Arabidopsis thaliana: one gene and its partners. The protein of the gene in region 3 binds, or shares a complex with, the protein of the main gene of each other region. Each region holds a gene or a part of one and is shown on either strand. Other genes may lie near its edges.

Region 1 (5,492 bases), 2.2 Mb from region 3:
GCCTGGAAAATTAAATAGAATGAATCACTTCATATTTGTGGCATCGAATACACAGATCTAGCACATTCTTGCCAAAAAGAGACTGAGCCGCATAAAAGGAAAAGGTCTTTTTGTTTCAACACTTAGCCCTTTAGAATTGAAAGGGAAATAAAAAATGGAGAAACGTTTTTTGATGGACAGCACCAAAAAAACTCAATAGGGTTCGAGAAGAAACAAAAAGAGGAAGAACATTCCAGATCACATACCTCTACAAGTGACATATCTATTTTCTCTCCTATCCCGTTTCTGTGGAGGCTCATGGATAGCAAATATCTCGGAGAACTGTAAGATAACCATACCATCTTCCACATACAACGTAGGCAGTGGGGTGGCGCCTTTGTCATCCAATGTACCTTCCAATAACTCATCCACCTCCTCCTGAATGTTTTGATGAGATCACTAACATAACAAAATCATCCCACAGCAAAAATATGTTATTTGAGACACAATTTCCCTTTATTTTGAGGGGAAACTGACCTCCTGGACATCTTCGGTGTCCATATGATCCTCTTTATCCAAGATGCTAGCCTCCTCTTCATACTCCAAGGCCTTGTCTTCCTTTAAGACAACTGCAACGCAATTTTTTTTGTCTTGTTAAGTTTATATTCTCAAGGACTTAAATCACACTAGACTACAGCTTTGCAAGTAATCATTTGCCTGAGCTCAACAAGTATAATTACAGGAAGAATGACTTAACAAAACCAATTTGAGTGATGAGATAACACAACAAAAGTACACTTTACTATGGGATAATTGTTTTGTTCAAGAAACGGAAATTTCGAAATGCAAACCTGGTTCCCTCTTTTCAGTTTCAAGAGATTTTTCAACTGGCGCTTGCTCCTCCTCTTGTTCTTCTTCCTCGTCATAATCTTCATCATCAAACACAGAAGCTCTGGACTTTAAACTACCCAAAGCAACTGCAGTCGAAAAATACTCCTTTTTTGGCAGTAGATGATCTTCCTCACTGACTACTTGAACTTCGGGCCCATCGTACTCTTCATCAATATCCTCATAATCAACAGCATCCTCAGCTTTTCTATCATAATCTACACAACATATCACCACAGTCAATGACGCTGATGACCAGGATTTGGTAGTGTAAATAGTGTCAGTATGTAAATGCTACGGGCAGGAATGTTGCATATTTAAAGATTGTAAACGTGAGTAGTTAAAATGTTTATGCATATAAATTACGCAAGACACTTTCTTAAACAATCCAATAATAATTGGATTATGACTACAACGAAAGTAAGAAGAGTGCAAGACCATTGTGATGGAAACATTCACTGGGAGAAAAACTTTCTAGCAGGTTTCCTAGAAGCTACTCCAGTATGGTTTAAAGAAACGGTAGAATGAAAACTAGAAGTTAAATGAACAATAAAAACTGCATAAGATAGACGACCCTGGCAGACAACATCACCTTGCTCAGCTGGATCACTTGCTGTACGTTCTGATTTTGCCAATAACTGTTGAGTTTAGAAACACCATTATTGGCATCCCAGTACAAGAAAAAGAGGATTAAAAACCACATAAAAGACTCGCAGTTCACTCGTCTATAAACTTTAGAAGATAAAATATTAAAGAGTGTGTAGAACGTTACATTTATATCTGGTAGAGATGAACCCAGCTTATCTGCCAATGCAGAAAGATGTTCTTTGGCGTCCTGAAAAGTTTAAATGTTAGCATTGGCACAGGTATGCTTGGTGGAGAATTTGCAACTCATAGTTAATAAAATACATATATCCTAAGTCCAGAGAGAATAGACAGAAAAACTGAGACCGATAATGAAAATAATGTGTTCAACAAGGTCATCATACTGAAAGCGTAAAACAGATTACCTCATCAAGGTAATCAGCGTCCAAGTCCCCAGAGTTATCAACATTTCCAAAGATGAATCCAAGGTTAAAACCCCTGCTGTTGTCCTCATATTCATCATCGTCATCTGCAGCAGACATGTAAAATATTGGTGTTCACCAAACAAATCTTGGCAGACATGTAAAATATTGGTGTAAAATGGGAATGCATGTGATAACTGATTATCATCACGAGTATTCAGAAATCACAAAGATTGCATGTTAACACTCTTGTTAAACTGCTAAATCCAAGGTCACATAATCATTGGATTCCTCTCCATCATCTTATCAGGCTACAGTAGCCTCCATCTAGTGAAACTACTATTCCCATTCTCTTCGTCATCTAAGATCCTACAAACTCAATTCCCTCTAGAAATTTAGAAAAAATAATCTTAACTATACCCTAGAACATGTCCAGGATCACTCAAGACTGCTCCTTTTCTACTTAAAGAAATCCAAAATATTCAAAACCGTAAATCGGTCATGAGCTAGCCTAAATGCACCAAACACTAGCTAGACAGGGACATCTCTAGTTTCACAAACTGTAGTAATCCAAAATTCCACAACCTAATATTTCCAATCTCTTTGTCAATTAAGATCCTACAAACCAATACTCAGAATCACTCAAGGCTGTTCCTTTTCTACTTAAAGAGACTTAATCCGAAATATTCAAAACCGTAGAACAATCATAAGCTAGACAGGGGCATCTCCAGTTTCAGAAATCATGTCGACAATGGACTGGACCGGAAAAAAGAAAAGCAACAAACTTTGATAAAGAAAGCAACATATATATACCTGAGGAAGTCTCGTTGTGGGAACCCTTGCCATTGGATTCAGCCATATTCAAAGATTTAACTACAATGGTGACAATCGGGAGACGACAAGGCAATTGTCCTTCCCAAATCCCCAACCATTAAAACTCAATCAAAACCTTCAAAAGAAACAAAAAAAACTACACAATTACAAGCCAACCTAAACGGACCTGGAAACAAAAAAAGCTAACTTCTTTATCTGAAACTTCATCAAAAGAGTCTCAATTTGGCTTTAAAATCACAACCAAATCGAAACCCCATTGATCAATTTTCGAGTTAAGCTGAGTTGCAATCAAAGCATTGGATAAAATTGAAGAAGACGATACGATACCATTCACTGATACGAGATTGTTGGATTGGAGGGTTCTTTCTTGAAACCCTAATTGAGGGTACAAGTAAGCTTCGCCGGAAAGGTAAACCAGCTCAATCGGACGAGACGGTACGATGTCGGAGAGAAGTTCCGAGGTAAGCAAACTCTCAAATCGGAGGAAAAAAAAAAGTAATAACAAAAAAAAGAAGAAAATTGCGAAGCGACCAAGACAAGATTGTGAGGGCATTTATAAAAGTTTTATAACCCGACCCGAATAAAGTTTGAGTCCGGGTCTAATTTCTTAACCAGGAAAAATCAATTTCGTTGTTTGGTATGGAGGTGGTTAAGCAGAAATAGAGTCGGTTCTGAAGTAATTTTTGTTGTTGTTTAATCAGTGGTAATTTTACGAATTTAATAGATATATACCTATGATATTTCTTTAAAATATCTTTCTACCAAAATTGCAAAAGAAAATTGAATTTTAAAAGTATTATAAAAACATAACTGTTATAGTTCTACATTTAAATTTTCAATTTTTAATAATATTTTAATCACTTTAATTTTATTTTTTCGATCGACTAACATTCTAATATCCAAATTTAAGGCACACAAGTTTAATTGATAGTTTTATTTTTTTCATCGAATAACATCGGATGTGAAACTCTTTATTGCATACCTTGTACATATATAAAAATCAATAACATGTTGATTTTAATTATATAAAAAAATTTAATATTAAATAAAACCAGATTGAATAAAAATGGATATTAAGAAAATATATAGGTTCTTTTATTTTATGGACCACTGCGTCGGTAACTATGACGAAGTAAAACGGCAGTAGCCGTTAAAAAAAATAAAGTAAAATGATCCATATAGACAGATCGGAGATGTCGCTGAAAAAATAGAAGTGTCGTTGGAAAAAATAGAGATATTGATCTAACAACGTAGGAGTCGTGAAAAATATAGCGGCCTAAATGAACATAATCCAGCTTTTCTTCCATTGTCAGTTTTGAACAACCAGCAACGAATTTTATAATAAATTATGCCATTTATTTCTCATTTCGTTCTTTAATTTTTAGTCATCAAATTTAATCGCAACGACCAATACAAGAAGAACATGGTATAATCATACCAAATCATTGATTCAATATTACCTTATTAGATTTTATAAAATTCATTATCCATTCAACAATTGTACCTCAACATTTTCAAATGTACCTCAACAAGCAATTTTTTCTTTATTTAGTTTAACCTAAACAAGGAATTTATTTTTATTTTTACCATAACCATCATGAACTTTGTTGACTTGTTAAATGTCTCTATCTCCTTCTAACGAAATTATCAAAATCAATTTCTGTTCCTTATACTCCAACCAAATAGTGGTCCTGATTCTAAATCCTAGTTCTAAAATTAAGCCTTGTATTTTCTCTTTTTTATTAACGTAAAATCAAACAAAACAAATATCTCAAATATTTTGTTAAGAAAAAAGAATTCTTTATTCAACGAAAAATATGGATTAAAAAGAACACCAAAGCCACGTGCATTGTCACTTCCCAACTTTAGAAAAATTGTATTTATATAAACAAGTTTTATCTAATTAGCAGTTTTATGTTATTTTGTCTTTAATCTCACTTCACCGTCTCTCTTTCACTCAATCTCCGTGATTCATTTTTTCTCCGACGTTGCTTAATCCTCGAAATCTCCGGCGATGGGTGGTTGCGTCTCCTCCAACCTCCTTACTCCGACCGATGACAGCAGCTTCTCTCACCTCACCAGCTCCTCCTTAAGCCAACATTTCGTCAAGCTAACTTCCACCACTTACGGTCTTCTCAATCTCGACTCTTCTTCACCTTCTCCTCCGTCTCCTTCCTCCTCCTCCTCCGCCAAATCCGTTATCACGCCAATGACTCCGCCTGAGAGATTCACTATCAACGGTAAGGAGGCGGCGATGATGATGGTTAAGTCTGAGCCGACGACGGAGGTTATTAACTTCTGGGAGCTAATGTCAGGTTTAGACGGCGATACTTGTCGATTCTCTCCGATTCCGGTGAAATGTAATGGATTTTCCGGCGGATTAAAGAAAGAGAACTCCGATCCTAATTTGAAAAACCCTAACGATTACGAGGTTTTGAAACCGTTAGATCCGAAATTAGCGGAGGAATCTGAGAGGTTATGTGACGGCGGAGAGAATCGCGTTGTGATTTATACGACGTCGTTGCGCGGTGTTCGACGGACGTTTGAGGCGTGTAACGCCGTGAGAGCTGCGATTGAGAGTTTTGGTGTAGTGGTTTGTGAGAGAGATGTGTCAATGGATAGAGGATTTAGAGAAGAGTTATCCAATCTAATGGCGGTAGAATCGACGGCGGCGGTGTTGCCGCCTCGGGTTTTTGTGAAGGGGAAGTACATTGGTGGAGCAGAGGAAGTGATGAGATTGGTGGAAGAAGGATTGCTTGGTGAATTGCTTAAAGAGATTCCGAG
Region 2 (5,300 bases), on a different chromosome or scaffold from region 3:
TTTGTCATATGACAATTATTGTTCTTCTTTTTCTTTTTGGACATGGATAATTATATTTTGTTTCATTTTGGTAAATTAGGGTCCTGTTCGTTTGCCTGTGTTCGTTTGCTTGTCTGTGTTCGTTTGCCTGTCGCTGACGACTGAAACCAGCGACAACGACCAAAAGTTGTTTGTTTGCATAGCGATCAAAAGTAACGACAATCGCCAGCGACCAGCGACCGCAATTTTTGGTCGCTGAAATTTTTAGCGATCAGTCGCTGATTTCAGCGATTAGTCGCTGGTTTTAGTCGCTGGATCCAACGACATGCAAACGAACAATTTAGCGATCAAAAAATATAAATTAAAGAATAATTAAAAATAATTAAATTAAACAGAATTAAATTAAATTAAACTTAAAATAAATGTCTTTTTGCACTCTGAACGGTTGTGTCTTTTAATCGCAACTTTCCGTAAAAAATATTGATGGTTGTTTTTTCTCGCTTGTGTCTTTTATTGCAACCTTCCTATATTGTAATTTTCTGTCAAAATATTTACAGTTATTTTTTCCGGTTAGTTATATATATACTATTGAATAACTACGAAATTTAGAATATGCATCATTTGGAGTTAGATTTGTTTTAAAGAAATTATTATATAAATAAATTTATAATATTTTTCTCTGCGATATCAAGAAAGGTTTGAGTTCTAGTTTAATTAAAATAATTCTTATTAAATTAAGTTAAAATAAATTAAATTCAAATAACATAAACTAATTATAGTCAAATTAAATTTGATAAAACTAAAATAAATAAATCTATTAATTTATTTTTCTCATGGTGTATGATATATATGATTTACATTTTGATTTTAAAATATAAATTAGTACCAAAAATAATTAATTTTAAAAAAAAATATAGCGACTGTTTATAGCGACAGTCAAACGAACAACACAACGACAATTATTAGCGATTGTTGATGTAATTGGTCGCTGAGTCCAGCGACAGACAATCGAACAATATATGTTGTCGCTGGTTGCTGTCGCTGGTCGTTGGTCGCTGTCGCTGGATCCAGCGACAGGAAAACGAACAGGGCATAGGTTTTGTTTGTTTTATTTAGTATTTCTAACGTAAATTTTAAAAAAGCGCCAAAATCTAGAAGAAGAGTAATATGCGAGAAAATCACTTTTACTCTTATTTATTTACTTGTCTTGCCAAATTTCCATCAAAATTATTAATTACTTAATTATATAATTTTTGACTAATTATTTACTTTATTGGACCCGGGATATGTAACTAAATGGGCTTTTATTGGGCTGTATTCTGTGGACCATTAATAAACATAATCTTTGAAGTGCAAAAAAAAAAATGGGACCCGGGACAACTAAATCAGAATCGGGGCGGGTTATAAACTTTTCCCTATAAATTACCACTCCGATGTTAATACCCGCCTCTTTGATCCCTCAGACGATTTCTTCTTTCCGTTGTATCTTCCAATCACCCGATTGAGCTCCGCTTCACTTCCTCCGGCTAAATGTGTACATACTCTCAATTAGGAAACCGCCAATCCCACATAACGTTGAATGTCGTCGTCTCGGTTAGATATCAACGAGGGTTTTGTTCTTGGTTCCTTACTAAACAACAAAATTTGACGAAAATTGGTACTTGGGTATGAACGTTGTTATTCCCTAATTGTACCGGAAAATTTGATGGTGGTATGTTTCCCTTGTAGGTTTTCGTTGAGTCGTGGATTTGTTCTTGCTCCTGATTCTTTTCAGTAGTTCCTTTGCTATTTGGGAAGCAAAATTGTCACGCCACTCTTTGCATTCGAGGGTTTTATTATGTCTGAGTCCAACGACAACGAGACTTCCGCAGGTTATATTTGCAGTTTCTTACATGGTTTCTTCATTAGTGTATTGCATTCTCCTAGTTTTGCTCTAGTCATAATCTACTTATTGTGGGATAATTTATTGCTCAGCGTTTTGAGTTAATTAAATAGAAGGTTTTTATGTTTGAGATTTTGATATACGCAACAAGTCCCACCCATAGCAGTTACAAACTGAAACTATTTGCCACTACCAATTCCCGGTCATCAGCTTCACTGACTTGTGATGATATGTCGTGTAGATTATGGGAGCAATGATGAAGAGTATGATGGGCCTGAGCTTCAAGTAGTTACTGAGGAAGATCACCTACTACCAAAAAGAGAGTACTTATCAGCTGCATTTGCTTTGAGTGGTTTAAATTCCAGAGCTTCTGTGTTTGACGACGAAGATTATGATGAACAAGGAGGACAAGAGAAGGAACATGTACCAGTTGAGAAATCTTTTGATTCAGAAGAGAGGGAACCAGGTTTGCTTTTGAAATTTCCGTTTCTTGAACAAAACGATTAGCACACTCTATTCTCTACTTTTGTTTTGTCATTTCATTAATCTCAGATTGGTTTAGTTTTCTCAACACTTATACTTGTTTAGCTCGGGAAAATAATCTCTTGTTAAGTTGGAGTCCAGTGCGTCATAAATACTAGAGATCAGAACTCTTGGAACTTTTCTTAGATTCCTTTTGTGTTAGTGATTATGAGACACTAAACATTATTTTCGCAGTTGTCTTGAAGGAGGAAAAGCCCGTAAAGCATGAAAAGGAGGCTAGCATCTTGGGAAATAAGAATCAGATGGACACAGGAGATGTCCAGGAGGTCAGCAAGAATGATTTCGGTGTCTCAGATAACATCTTTTTTTGTTGTGGAATGATTTTGTTCTGTTAGTGATCTCATTGAAACGTTCAGGAGTTGGTGGTTGGATTATCAGAAGCTACTTTGGATGAGAAACGTGTCACCCCGCTGCCTACGTTATATCTTGAAGATGATGGTATGGTCATCTTACAATTCTCTGAGATATTTGCTATACAAGAGCCACAGAAGAAACGGCAGAAGAGAGAAATTAGATGTATCACTTATAGAGGTATGTGATCTGCAACGGCTTCCTAATTTTGTTTATTCTCAAAAGCCTTTGAATTTTTTGTGCTTTCCATTGGGATGTTAAAATCTACAACAACAATGATTTCTCAAGATTTTCAGTATCTCCCGTTCAATTCTAAAAGCCATTAGGTGTCGAAAGCATGAGAAGTTTTTTGTATGTGGCTCTGTCTTTTCTTGGCAAGAATTTAGTAGATATGTATATTTGGTGCTTCTGAAATGATATACATTATTTTCTCTGTTTCTCTCGTTATCTCTCTGCATTGTTCTTTTCTGTTTGTAATTCATCACTTCTTTTAATGTAACTAGAATAGCTGAGAAAGTTCTATGAAAACAATTATCATATGAGACTCTTACATCATAGCCTTCTTTGGTACAGACAAATACATATCTATGGATATTTCTGAGCTTATCGAAGACGATGAGGAGGTACTCCTGAAGAGCCATGGTAGGATTGACACTCATGGGAAAAAAACTGATCAAATTCAGCTGGATGTTCCCTTACCAATCAGAGAGCGTTCACAGCTGGTAAAATCTGGCATAGTAAGGGATACTACATCAGAATCGAGAGAGTTTACCAAGCTAGGAAGGGATTCATGTATCATGGGTGAACTGTTGAAGCAGGACTTAAAAGACGATAATTCATCTCTCTGTCAGTCTCAATTAACAATGGAAGTTTTCCCTCTAGACCAGCAAGAATGGGAACATCTAATACTCTGGGAAATTTCTCCTCAATTTAGTGCTAATTGTTGTGAGGGCTTCAAATCTGGACTTGAGTCAGCAGGTATAATGGTACAGGTGAGGGCTTCAAATTCAGTGACTGAACAAGAAAGCTTAAATGTGATGAACTCTGGAGGGCAAACTCAAGGGGACAATAACAACATGCTCGAGCCTTTTTTTGTAAATCCGTTGGAGTCTTTTGGCTCAAGAGGTTCCCAGTCTACAAATGAGTCCACTAACAAAAGTAGACATCATCCACAACTCCTTAGATTAGAATCTCAGTGGGATGAGGATCATTATAGGGAAAATGGCGATGCTGGACGGGAGAATTTAAAGCAGCTTAATAGTGACGCTCGTGGGCGCTTGAGTGGACTTGCATTGCAAGATAGGGATATGTGGGATGAGTCATGGTTAGATAGCATAATATGGGAGTCAGATAAAGATTTGAGCAGGTCTAAACTAATATTTGATCTTCAAGATGAGCAAATGATCTTTGAAGTTCCGAACAATAAGGAAAGAAAATATCTTCAACTTCATGCTGGATCTAGGATTGTATCTCGATCTTCAAAATCCAAGGACGGATCCTTTCAAGAAGGCTGTGGATCAAATTCTGGGTGGCAATTCAATATTTCTAATGACAAATTCTATATGAATGGGAAAAGCGCTCAGAAACTGCAAGGAAATGCTAAGAAATCTACCGTACACAGTTTGAGAGTTTTCCATTCGGCACCAGCGATTAAATTGCAGACGATGAAGATCAAATTGAGCAAGTAAGTGAGTCATTTGAATTTTTACATCTTATTGTATTTGTACGCTTCATTGTTACATTCGTGTGTGGTCTCAATGTTGCCACTGGATATATTTTTTAAATACATTTTTTTAGTGGTTTATGTTAAAAAGTTTTGATTTAACTCATTGCAGTAAAGAGAGAGCAAATTTTCACCGGCCCAAAGCTCTGTGGTATCCACATGACAATGAGCTAGCCATAAAGCAGCAAAAAATTTTACCCACCCAAGGTTCCATGACAATTGTTGTTAAGAGTCTGGGGGGTAAAGGATCACTGCTAACCGTCGGCAGAGAGGAATCTGTCTCTTCTTTAAAAGCCAAGGCTTCTAGAAAGCTAGGTTGTTTGTTTTCCTTTCATTTTTTGTCTACCCCATTATGACATGGATTCTATTTGGAGAACATGCTGTACTATTCACTTGCAAATCTTAGAGCTCATTTGCTACAATTGTGTTGCAGATTTTAAGGAAACAGAAGCAGTGAAGATGTTTTATATGGGGAAGGAACTTGAGGATGAAAAGTCTCTTGCTGAACAAAATGTTCAACCCAATTCCCTTGTCCATCTTTTACGTACTAAGGTGCATCTGTGGCCATGGGCACAAAAGCTTCCTGGCGAAAATAAATCTTTACGACCTCCTGGGGCTTTCAAGAAGAAATCTGACCTATCTAATCAAGATGGCCATGTTTTCTTGATGGAGTAAGAGAATTTCTATATGAGACTTACCTGTCAAATTTGGAACTTTTGTTTTGTTACTTTATGGCTCTTGTAGTTATCTTGATCTTTGTCTATAAGTCACCGTTACTTTTCATTAATCTGAGTAGGTATTGTGAAGAGAGGCCGTTGATGC
Region 3 (6,932 bases):
CCTTCTCCACACTCCACCTACTACTATATATTTACACACACTTTCATTACTTCTTCTTCAGCAATTAAACAATTTCTTCACTGCAATTCACAAGCAACCTTCAAACTAAAACTCGAGAGACAAGAAATCCTCAGAATCTTTAACTTAATGGCGCTCGAGGCTCTTACATCACCAAGATTAGCTTCTCCGATTCCTCCTTTGTTCGAAGATTCTTCAGTCTTCCATGGAGTCGAGCACTGGACAAAGGGTAAGCGATCTAAGAGATCAAGATCCGATTTCCACCACCAAAACCTCACTGAGGAAGAGTATCTAGCTTTTTGCCTCATGCTTCTCGCTCGCGACAACCGTCAGCCTCCTCCTCCTCCGGCGGTGGAGAAGTTGAGCTACAAGTGTAGCGTCTGCGACAAGACGTTCTCTTCTTACCAAGCTCTCGGTGGTCACAAGGCAAGCCACCGTAAGAACTTATCACAGACTCTCTCCGGCGGAGGAGATGATCATTCAACCTCGTCGGCGACAACCACATCCGCCGTGACTACTGGAAGTGGGAAATCACACGTTTGCACCATCTGTAACAAGTCTTTTCCTTCCGGTCAAGCTCTCGGCGGACACAAGCGGTGCCACTACGAAGGAAACAACAACATCAACACTAGTAGCGTGTCCAACTCCGAAGGTGCGGGGTCCACTAGCCACGTTAGCAGTAGCCACCGTGGGTTTGACCTCAACATCCCTCCGATCCCTGAATTCTCGATGGTCAACGGAGACGACGAAGTCATGAGCCCTATGCCGGCGAAGAAGCCTCGGTTTGACTTTCCGGTCAAACTTCAACTTTAAGGAAATTTACTTAGACGATAAGATTTCGTTTGTATACTGTTGAGAGTTGTGTAGGAATTTGTTGACTGTACATACCAAATTGGACTTTGACTGATTCCAATTCTTCTTGTTCTTTCATTTTAAAAATTATTAAACCGATTCTTTACCACATATTTTACAAACGCGTTGAGTCTTTTTTTTATCTGAATAAGCATAAAGTGACACCACTACAACTCTGTTTTTGGTTCTGTTTTTTTCAAAAAATTTATAACACAATTAAGCATAATCAAGAACGTTCTAGTTTCTACTACCATCCACATATTGTTCTTTCTTATATTTTGGAAAGCTCTAAGCAAATAAAAAGAGTTGTGATATCTTACGGAAGACTGCCAAAGAAAACTCAACTTTCATTTTTCTTTTACCAAAAGAATACCGTAACTTTCAATTGAAAAAAGCCTTTCTTGACGGGTCGTTTGTTTTCTTTAGTAGCACTGTTTAATTAACGTAGATAATCCCTTCTTTAATTTGGTGAATTATCTACGGGAAGTCCAAAACTCAATGGTCATAAACGTGTATCAAAATTCATCTAAAAGTTAATTAATTTTTTTTTGCAAAAGTCTGATGCTAATATGAATAACTGTTTAAGAACTCCAACATTATATTCAAGAAAAATAAATTTTGATATACAAGAACAAGCCCAGTTACCGAAAAGAAGAACAGAACGGCGCGCAGTGTTTTATCCAAAAGAAACAACTACCGAAAAGAAGATCAACAGAACGGCGCGCAGTGTTTTATCAAAAAGAAAAAACGACACGGTGTTCTCGCAGAATCTCCCTTTATATAAAAACTTGCGGAATTTGGAATCTTATTGGATACAACAAATCGTTTCCTTGAAAATTCCCTCTTCGTTTTGAGCTATTGACGTTTGGTACCGCGAGATTCCTCCATGGATCTCTCCATTGTCAAGCTCCTCGAAGAAGACGAAGAGGTTAGGTTTCGAATTTCCCACTCTCATTTTCATTTCCGTACTGTCTGCGAAAATCCACGCGCTATCTTGTTCTGTGGACGAAGCTCCTAAATGTCGATTCCCGCTAATCGTGTCGTTAGGTTGACTCTAAGCATTCGGAAGATGACTTGCAAATGTTTCAGGACTCTCTGATTCGAGATATTGAAGGTTCGTTTTGGACCCTAAAATTCATATGCGAAACTGTGGAATGTATCAAAACAGGGAAATGCCTTTAGATTTCTTTAGTGATTTAGGTTCACGAGTCGTATTTTTGTGGTTTGTCATGTATCTTCATGTTTCACTTGATGTTAACTGTTGAATGTTGATGGATGCAATTAGATTGTTAGTTCTTGATGATGCTTTAGTGACGGTTAGTCATAGAAAAATATTAGAGCATACTCATAATTGATTTTGGTGCTTGAACTCATGTGCCCCAAGGAAGTAACTTGAAGTCTATAAACAATACTACTGGTAATGAATCAGAAAAACCGCAACCTCGGTATATGAAACTGCAGAAGATGAGTAGCAAAGAGACTCCTTGGGTGGAAAAGACTGTTGACCCTGTGAATCATAATCTTAGATTAGCACGAGTTACTGATTTGCTTCGTACCGTGGTAGACCACCAACCCGGCAAAAAGACGCATTGTCTTAACCTGCATTATAAACTCAAGGTGTGGCTTTACAGTTTACATCCATGAATGAATTGGCACTCTGATCGAAGTTTCTTAATACATTACGTTTCTTTTCATACTTGATTGCAGAGAAAAGAACTTACAATGGAAGAGTTCATGCGACAACTGAGAGATCTTGTAGGTGATCAGATAATCAGATCGGTAATTAGCCAACTGCCTCAGTTAAAACCGGTATTACCCTTTCCATTTTCTTAGCATTTATAAGTACTTTAATGATTTTCATTTAGCAGCCTCCAAGAGAGTTTCTTGTTTTATATGCTTCCTTCTCTGTATATGAACATGTGCTGAGAAAGAAATCTCACTTCTGAACCTTATTAAAAAGGAAATAACATAAAGAATTCTCACTTTAATAGTATAAGCTGAATACTTCTTGTCTTGGAATTGTGGCTTACTGGTTTCAGAATGAACTGTATGTGTAACCAGGGAAATATGGGGATCAAAGTACCTGGACGCTCAAACCATGACAAAGTGTCTAAATCTGCTGGTATAACTTATTTAGTTGATGCCATTTACTTTTGCAATTATCATAGATCATCTTAACTTTCTGGTAGATCTTATCTTATGATTTCCTTGTAGCATACAAAACTAATCCCAGATACAATCATTAACTGCAGAATTCACTGCTCAAGAATCTGATCCTCGTGAAGTTCATGTTAACCAACTGTCTTCTACAACTTCAGGCACCTTAAACAGTTCAACTACTGTGCAGGGATTAAATAAGCATCCCGAGCAACACATGCAGCTTCCATCAAGTTCTTTTCATATGGATACCAAATCTGGAAGTCTTAATCCATACCCAGGGACAAATGTCACTTCTCCTGGTTCATCATCGAGAGCAAAGCTCCCTGATTTCCAGCATAGGGAAAACAATCAGAATGTGGGAATAGCCAGTGTTGGAGGACCAACCAAGTCTACAATAAACATGACGACAGTACCCAAGTTTGAGAGGCCAACTTTTGTAAATGGTCCAAGTAGGGTTCAGGATGGTCCTATATCCGACTTCCCAAAGAACTCATCCTTTCCTCTATATTCTGCTCCTTGGCAAGGATCAGTCACCAAGGACCATACAGTGGGACCTTCTTCATCAGTGATCCATGTGGAGCATAAATTGATTGATCAAAGTTTTGAACAGGCACATAAACCTCGTTATTTGGTGCAGCAAGGCGTGACTAATGTTCCACTGAAACAGAAGAATGCTATTCCAATTAGTTCAAATGATGACTTGGAGAAGCAGTCTTCTAAAATGGGTTTATTCACATCAACCACTTCTGCCAGCTCTGTTTTTCCTTCAATGACAACACAGCTGGACTCTAGCACGATGGTAACTTATAAATTATACTTTCAAAAGACAGATTTCAATTTGGTTGATCTTCTCTTTAAGCTCATAGGGGGACCATTTCTCTTCAACCGATGTTGCATTTGGTTTCGTTTTGCTTATATTTTGGACCACCCTGGCTTCTATTTCTCCTTGTACTGGCTTCGAACTTTGGTTGTGAAGAGTAAATGGACTATCTATCTTACGTGAAAATTATTTGTGTACACTTCAGGTTAATATGCCTGCCCCATCTGAGACCATTCCCAAGATTGCTAATGTTACGGTGACACCCAAAATGCCTTCTGTTGGTCAGAAGAAACCTCTTGAGGCACTAGGTTCTTCGCTGCCACCATCAAGGTAATGAGCTGGCTGGTTTGTGAAAGATGAACTACTTACAGCGTCCATAAATTACTCTTCCTTTTTTCTTTGCTTTTCTGATAATATCCTTTTTACCTTACTAACAATTTAGAATTGCTAAATTGAAGTCTTATGTATTTTTTAATATACAGAAAGAAGCAAAAAATATGTGGGACTTCTTCAGATGAAAGTATTGAAAAGTTTAATGATGTCACTGCAGTCAGTGGCATCAATCTCAGGGTATGTTTACGAGTTGCTACACTTCTCATTTTGAACCTGGATATAGAGAAACAATAAACCAAATTACTTTCTGCATCTGTTCTAGGAAGAGGAAAAACAATTATTAGATTCTGGTCCTAAAAAGAACGATCGTGTTTCTAAAGCATATCGAAGACTTGTGCATGGAGAGGAAGAAAGAACGCTTTTGCAGAAAATTCCACTGCAGAGAAAGCTGACAGAAATTAGTTTGTGTTTCAACTCGTATCTTAGCTGCTTCTTTGGTCCTTACTTGGAATCACTTGGAGAAGAAGTTTATGTATGCTTTCATATATGACAGTGGGAAAAAGTGGTTTAAAGCATATAGACCATGATGTAGAGCGGTGCTTGTCTCTGGTGAGATGTTAACACCTTTTCTTGGAATTATTAGCCTTCAATTTCCTGTTTTTGTTTTCGTTTTTCTCATGGCTTTGCGCATTCAGTGTGTGGAGGAGAGGATGCGAGGACTACTGTTTAATATAATACGAATATCAAAGCAGGTCAGTCTACTTTCTCTTCTCATGCCTCCTTAGATCTTGTTGTACCTAAATCTTTCTGAAGTTACAAGAGCTTTTGCAGCGGACTGATGCAGAGAAGTGTAGAAATCGGACTTTTATCACATCTGATATCCGGAAAGAAATTAATGAAATGAATCAGAAGGTGAAAGAGGAATGGGAAAAGAAACATTCTGGAGAAGAAAAGGTAATGGTTTGTCCTGAGCTTAATATCTATTTGTCTTAGTTATCAGTAGTAATGTCTAGTTTTTTTTTTTTGTATATTCATTGATGTAGAACAAAGAAAATGATACTGAAAAAGAAGACCAACGTTCAAACGAAGTGAAGGTATTTAGAACTTGAGCCAACTACCTAAACCTTTGGAGATATACACATACGTACACTGAAAGAGGTTTATTGATCACAAGTCAGGCAAATAAGAAGGACGAAGATAAAGAGAGAGCCAAGGCTGCAAATGTTGCTGTTCGTGCAGCCGTTGGAGGAGATGATAGGTTTTCAAAATGGAAACTTATGGCTGAAGCACGTCAGAGATCTTCTCCAGGGCCAGGAAGAAACTCCAAGAAACTTTCTGGTAAGATTGGTAATCCCGTTTCTATGATCTGAAAGAGTAAATCTCTCAGTTCTGTTGCTGGTTATTCTTGTGTTTCGTGCTCCTAATTGCATATTCGAACTTTATGTAGGTGGTACACAATTTGGGAAGAACCAAGGTTTACCAAAAGTAGTCCGGTCAATCTCTGTGAAGGATGTGATCGCTGTGGTGGAAAAGGAGCCTCAGATGTCAAGATCGACGCTATTGTATCGCGTATACAATAGAATCTGCTCGGATGTTTGAAACCAAGAAAAGACATAGGACCAATTCTTTATTTTTTTTTGTAGAAAGGTTCTTATTCCATTAAAACTAATGCCATTACAAACTCCTAAACATGATCAAGATGCTAAAGTACATCCTTATTTCTTCTTCCTTTCACTACCTAAAGCAAGCTGCATGTTTTTTCTAGTTTTTGCCTGATCCCTTCGTGCTGACTCCGCCGTGTCCATATCCTCCTCCACCACCACCGCCTCCGCTGCATGAACCTCCGCATCCTCCACCACCACCGCCAATGATGACTCCACCACCAATACCTCCTCCACCACCAATACCTCCTCCACCTGACCCGTATCCTGGACCACCACCTCCGTTGCCTCCATCCCAACCCAAACCACCACCTGAACCATACCCGGCACCTCCACCAAATCCACCACCGATTACAACACCACCACCGCCGCCACCTGGACCGTATCCACCACCACCATATCCCGGGCCTCCACCGCCGTAGCCACCAGCTGTGAGTTCACCCTTAAATCCGGTTACGTGTCGGATACTCTTTCCAATCTCACTGGAGTGTGCTTCATTCCTCATGAGCTTACTCTCTCTTCCAATCTCACTCGAGCGTGCTTTATTCCTCATGGACGCACTTTCTCTTCCAATCTCAGTGGAGTGTTTTTCATTCCTCATGAGCTTACTTTCTCTTCCAATCCCACTGGAGTGTGCTTCCTTCCTCATGGAGGCACCTTCTCTTGCAGCCTCGGCAATCATATGACCGATGAGACAAAGATACGAGGAAACAAGAAACCACAAGATCACTCTAGCCATGATGGCTGCTTAGTGACACAATTTGTTTGCTTAGAATCTGAAAAAGGAAGTAAAAGGACTTGTGTGTTTGAATAATACACAGCCACAAACACACACCACTATTTATATATCTTGGGACATAATACAACGGTGATGGTTGGCATGGGCGTGCCAGTAGAGAGAGAGAGAGGTGCATATATGGTGACTCACCAGAAAGGTGTAACAGGTGATGGTTCTCATTCGCATGATTTTTCCCACACTTTTTGCTGCATTTTTTCATTATTATTCATTTTGCAGTCTCAAGTTTTTTCTTAAATAAAAGAAAACAAGGAGTGACTCGTGTACCAATCCATTGATCTGATTTGAACAT
Region 4 (4,398 bases), on a different chromosome or scaffold from region 3:
AATCAGTGTAGTTGAATTGCATGGAACATTGCAGAGGTTGGAAGATATGGATGTTAAAATTATTCCGGTTGAGGATTCAAAGAAACAGTTTGATGTAGTAGAGAAAGATGATGTGGTTATCCTTCCTGCGTTTGGAGCTGGTGTTGACGAGATGTATGTTCTTAATGATAAAAAGGTGCAAATTGTTGACACGACTTGTCCTTGGGTGACAAAGGTACATTCCTCCTGTGGCCATAAATCCGTAATATTGTTTCTCGCATTCATCTCTAGCATAGGTTATTGATATCTTCCTTTTTGACATTTGTGACTCTAAAGGTCTGGAACACGGTTGAGAAGCACAAGAAGGGGGAATACACATCAGTAATCCATGGTAAATATAATCATGAAGAGACGATTGCAACTGCGTCTTTTGCAGGAAAGTACATCATTGTAAAGAACATGAAAGAGGTGTGACTTTTATATTGTCAAACTTTGGATATCCATAGAATTTTGCAAGATGTGTTACTGATGGGGTACCTTATTACTGAGCACAGGCAAATTACGTTTGTGATTACATTCTCGGTGGCCAATACGATGGATCTAGCTCCACAAAAGAGGAGTTCATGGAGGTATGTAAGCTTATTTTGCTAATTCTTTGTATCATTCTGGTTTTTCTAATCTCTATGTTGGCGTTGTAGAAATTCAAATACGCAATTTCGAAGGGTTTCGATCCCGACAATGACCTTGTCAAAGTTGGTATTGCAAACCAAACAACGATGCTAAAGGGAGAAACAGAGGAGATAGGTTAGTTACTCTACCGTTTTTTTACATGACAATCGTCTTTTATCCTTGGAAACAAAAACACCTTAGTTTGAGTCTCATGCCAAAAACCCCACAGGAAGATTACTCGAGACAACAATGATGCGCAAGTATGGAGTGGAAAATGTAAGCGGACATTTCATCAGCTTCAACACAATATGCGACGCTACTCAAGTAAAATTCCCATACCTCAAAAACCATGCATCTAGACAAGTTTTACACTTGAGGAAGTGTTTATTCATCAATACTATAATCTCTTCAGGAGCGACAAGACGCAATCTATGAGCTAGTGGAAGAGAAGATTGACCTCATGCTAGTGGTTGGCGGATGGAATTCAAGTAACACCTCTCACCTTCAGGAAATCTCAGAGGCACGGGGAATCCCATCTTACTGGATCGATAGTGAGAAACGGATAGGACCTGGGAATAAAATAGCCTATAAGCTCCACGTAAGCGCATTTCAAAACTAACTTACTCCTTACCAAACTGCATTCACTGATTTTTTCTATTTTACATTGATAGTATGGAGAACTGGTCGAGAAGGAAAACTTTCTCCCAAAGGGACCAATAACAATCGGTGTGACATCAGGTGCATCAACCCCGGATAAGGTATATATATATTTGCAGCTATATTTTTGTTTGGTTCTCTTGTTTCCCACACGAACATGAGTGAAAATATTTGTGAAAAAATTACAGGTCGTGGAAGATGCTTTGGTGAAGGTGTTCGACATTAAACGTGAAGAGTTATTGCAGCTGGCTTGATTCGGCATTGTGATCGTATTCAAATACTATTTGTCATGTCAAGAGTGTACTAAAATATATGTAGTTGTATGATTTGTCTTTATAACTTTTGTAAGAGGTTTTGTAATTCAAAGTCAACATCCTCGTTATCTTACTCCACTTAATGTTCTTACCATAATCGCAATTAGACTGATATAGAACTTGAGACTGTGTAAGGCTGTCATTATCGAGAAGTTGTCACTAAAACAACTAGGTTATGAATCTCCGCGGTATCGGGAAAGAACTCATTTTCAACAAATCGAGCCACAAGAGTTTCTAAAATAGTTTAATGTAACGAAACTCGGGAAGTTGTCAAGAGTTCTCCCGCGATATTTCGTTATGTTTGGAAAATTTTCAAAACAATGTAATGAAATATCGCGGAGAACTCATTTTCAACAGAATCACTCATCCGAATTTCTAAAATAGCTTCATAAATTTTTACGAAATACCGCAGAAAAACTTATTTTCAACAAAATCAGCCACGCCAATTTCTTATAAAATTTTCCAATAATTTTTTGGGTTATGATTACTACAATTTACATTTGTTTAATTTTAAACCAAAATTTTGGTCTAAAAAAAAAAAAAAAAGTTGGTAGTTAATTTTGGGGTTGGAGCTCTATATAAGCGAGAGATGGCAGGATTCTCAAGACGCATTTCTCTCTGTCTCTCTTTCTCTCTTCATATTTCCCGGTGCTTCGTCGACGTTAGGTCTTTTCCGTTGACGGAGGCAAATTTCTTCGATTCTCTTTAAACCGGCGGTCCATGTGGTCTTACCGACGAGAAAACCCTAATTTCAGGGATTAGATAGCTTTTTGAAACAAATTAGAGCAATGAACACAGAGAGAGCTCAAGAAGGTGATAGGAACGATGCCGCATCTTCCTCTGGCTGCTCCGAGTCCTACGAGTTTAGCCACGCAGCCGCTAAAGCTGCAGTAGCTCAGGTCTGCGAGAGCGTTGGGTACGAGAATTTCAAGGATCCAGCTCTCGAATCTCTATCTGGATTCGCACTCCAGTACATTCTTCAGCTAGGTAAAACCGCTACTTCCTTCGCTAATCTAACTGGTAGGAGTCAGTGTAACGTGTTCGATATCATTCTCGCTTTGGATGATTTGACTGATAACAATGGCGAACAAGGAATTTCGTCTGAGAGTTGTTCATTAGGTCGTTCGATTAAACTTAGGGAGATTATCGATTTCGTTAATTCGAGTGAAGAAGTCCCTTTCTCGCAGCCATTGCCAAGTTTTCCTGTAGCTATAAGTGATAGGAGTAGGAAGATGATCCCAAGCTTTGTTGAAATTGGTGAAACTCCACCTGGGAAACATATTCCTTTGTGGCTACCAGCTTTTCCTGATCCTCATACTTATAAGGAAACCCCTATGTGGATCGAAAGAGTATCAGATCCAAGGGGAGATAAGATTGAACAAGCGAGGCAGAGACGAAAGGCTGAGAGAGCTTTGTTGAGTTTGCAGAGGAAACTTGTTTGTAAAATCTCCTCAAGGAATCCTGTGTGGGGAGATATGGATGGTGTGAAAGAAGAAATGAGAGATGATGAGAGTGAACTGCGTTCTGTATCGTCCGGGGAGAAAGTCGAATCATTGAATAGAGATGGCTTATCAGTGATAGAGGCATTTGCTCCTGCTATGGAGGCTGCAAGAGATGGGTTTTCTAGTGAAGCTCACACTGAATGGAAGAAGAATAAACCTGTTGCTCTTTCTAAGCTCAGAACCGAGAAGAAATTTCTCGGACAACCTTTGGATCTAAGTCTACAGATGAAGGGTGAAGATAGACCCATATCCTTTGTGCGTGAGGAGGATAGAGATGACAAAAGAAGAAGAGCGGAGTTCATTTTGAGACAGTGTATGGAGAACCCAGTAGACCTCAATCAGTTGTAAAATAAGTGATTCATTACAGTCTGTGTAGCGTACTATTAATCTTGTGATTTGTAACCTTTCTTTATACAGGCCTATGTTATGATTATGATTTTGTGACTGAAAGAATGAGAATTTCTAACCTATCTTTTAGGCAATTGATATGATGTCTTTCTCATGAGATTCTTGTTACATAACTTAATGTTAGTTTCAGTTTCATGTCTCATGAGTGGGAGCCAGGGACCAGTGTGGAAGGAGTTTAGTCTTGTATCATTGCTATATTTCCAAACCAAGTCAAGTGGTCTGAGGTAAGTATATTTTCTTTGGTCGACATGTGTTTTGCTTCGTGATGTTTATGGGGTGTGAAACATATCACTGTATCAGAATTAAGATTATGTTATGTCAATTAGTTGAGAGCTCGAGGTTAGAAAGGAAAGCTAGGTTATTGAGTTGGGGCCTTGTGGATTAATGTAGGATTTTGCTTTGGACACTGGGCGATAGATAAGAGACTTACTTCTCTCGTTAATCAAGCCTCTTAAGAGTTTACGAGAACTGAATCCTATCACAGTTCCTTTAACTAACACCCCTAGTTTTCAGATTCCATACTTATGATTTAGTTTTTCGTCTATTAGCCCACCACTCTGATATCAGTATATATAGACTCCTGGCAGAACCATCATTTTGATAGTCTCAAATGTGAAAGTCTTGTCTCCCATTGTTTTCAATCATCAAAGAATACAGAAAATGCAACAATCATCATAAACAGTTTGAGTTATTGGACTTTGATAGGTATATACATTCAGAAAGAATCTGTACTATTATTATTTATTGTCTTTGAGCATTTCATCATTTGTAGCAAGAACCTGAAGATGAGAGAAACCGGGTAGTTCCTTTTGTGCTTTCTTCAGGTGCTGCAAGTAGCATTAATAATCCTCTGGAGAATCACAGTCCTT

The links.
Region 1: TAF4B (region 3) and HAF01 share a complex: the UniProt entries of both Arabidopsis thaliana proteins name them as parts of the TFIID complex.
Region 2: TAF4B (region 3) and HAF2 share a complex: the UniProt entries of both Arabidopsis thaliana proteins name them as parts of the TFIID complex.
Region 4: TAF4B (region 3) and TAF8 share a complex: the UniProt entries of both Arabidopsis thaliana proteins name them as parts of the TFIID complex.

What each region holds. Positions count from the first base shown.
Region 1 is NC_003070.9:11,853,529-11,859,020, forward strand, and holds the start of HAF01 (HAC13 protein (HAC13)), read right to left. Parts: upstream 3,238-5,492; 5' UTR 3,036-3,237; intron 2,824-3,035; 5' UTR 2,734-2,823; coding exon 2,688-2,733; intron 1,982-2,687; coding exon 1,878-1,981; intron 1,703-1,877; coding exon 1,640-1,702; intron 1,506-1,639; coding exon 1,460-1,505; intron 1,086-1,459; coding exon 831-1,085; intron 609-830; coding exon 517-608; intron 418-516; coding exon 246-417; intron 1-245. Other genes in the region: AT1G32760 (Glutaredoxin family protein), read left to right, coding at 4,723-5,492. UniProt on the Arabidopsis thaliana protein: TAFs are components of the transcription factor IID (TFIID) complex that is essential for mediating regulation of RNA polymerase transcription. Core scaffold of the TFIID complex.
Region 2 is NC_003074.8:6,572,069-6,577,368, reverse strand, and holds the start of HAF2 (histone acetyltransferase of the TAFII250 family 2), read left to right. Parts: upstream 1-1,755; 5' UTR 1,756-1,816; coding exon 1,817-1,850; intron 1,851-2,086; coding exon of another isoform or gene 2,087-2,102; coding exon 2,103-2,327; intron 2,328-2,578; coding exon 2,579-2,670; intron 2,671-2,760; coding exon 2,761-2,935; intron 2,936-3,328; coding exon 3,329-4,439; intron 4,440-4,590; coding exon 4,591-4,793; intron 4,794-4,911; coding exon 4,912-5,149; intron 5,150-5,274; coding exon 5,275-5,300. UniProt on the Arabidopsis thaliana protein: TAFs are components of the transcription factor IID (TFIID) complex that is essential for mediating regulation of RNA polymerase transcription. Core scaffold of the TFIID complex.
Region 3 is NC_003070.9:9,642,201-9,649,132, reverse strand, and holds TAF4B (TBP-associated factor 4B), read left to right. Parts: upstream 1-1,756; coding exon 1,757-1,798; intron 1,799-1,808; exon of another isoform or gene 1,809-1,917; coding exon 1,918-1,984; exon of another isoform or gene 1,985-2,254; coding exon 2,255-2,487; intron 2,488-2,577; coding exon 2,578-2,679; intron 2,680-2,931; coding exon 2,932-2,992; intron 2,993-3,122; coding exon 3,123-3,829; intron 3,830-4,055; coding exon 4,056-4,180; intron 4,181-4,332; coding exon 4,333-4,420; intron 4,421-4,505; coding exon 4,506-4,644; intron 4,645-4,736; coding exon 4,737-4,792; intron 4,793-4,878; coding exon 4,879-4,935; intron 4,936-5,014; coding exon 5,015-5,137; intron 5,138-5,226; coding exon 5,227-5,277; coding exon of another isoform or gene 5,278-5,292; exon of another isoform or gene 5,293-5,361; coding exon 5,362-5,521; intron 5,522-5,630; coding exon 5,631-5,782; downstream 5,783-6,932. Other genes in the region: STZ (salt tolerance zinc finger), read left to right, coding at 148-831; AT1G27710 (Glycine-rich protein family), read right to left, coding at 5,945-6,583. UniProt on the Arabidopsis thaliana protein: TAFs are components of the transcription factor IID (TFIID) complex that is essential for mediating regulation of RNA polymerase transcription.
Region 4 is NC_003075.7:16,425,842-16,430,239, reverse strand, and holds TAF8 (TBP-associated factor 8), read left to right. Parts: upstream 1-2,229; 5' UTR 2,230-2,407; coding exon 2,408-3,469; 3' UTR 3,470-3,601; downstream 3,602-4,398. Other genes in the region: HDR (4-hydroxy-3-methylbut-2-enyl diphosphate reductase), read left to right, coding at 35-214, 316-447, 534-608, 678-783, 878-972, 1,061-1,246, 1,320-1,406, 1,494-1,559; AT4G34330 (transmembrane protein, putative (DUF677)), read right to left, coding at 4,350-4,398. UniProt on the Arabidopsis thaliana protein: TAFs are components of the transcription factor IID (TFIID) complex that is essential for mediating regulation of RNA polymerase transcription.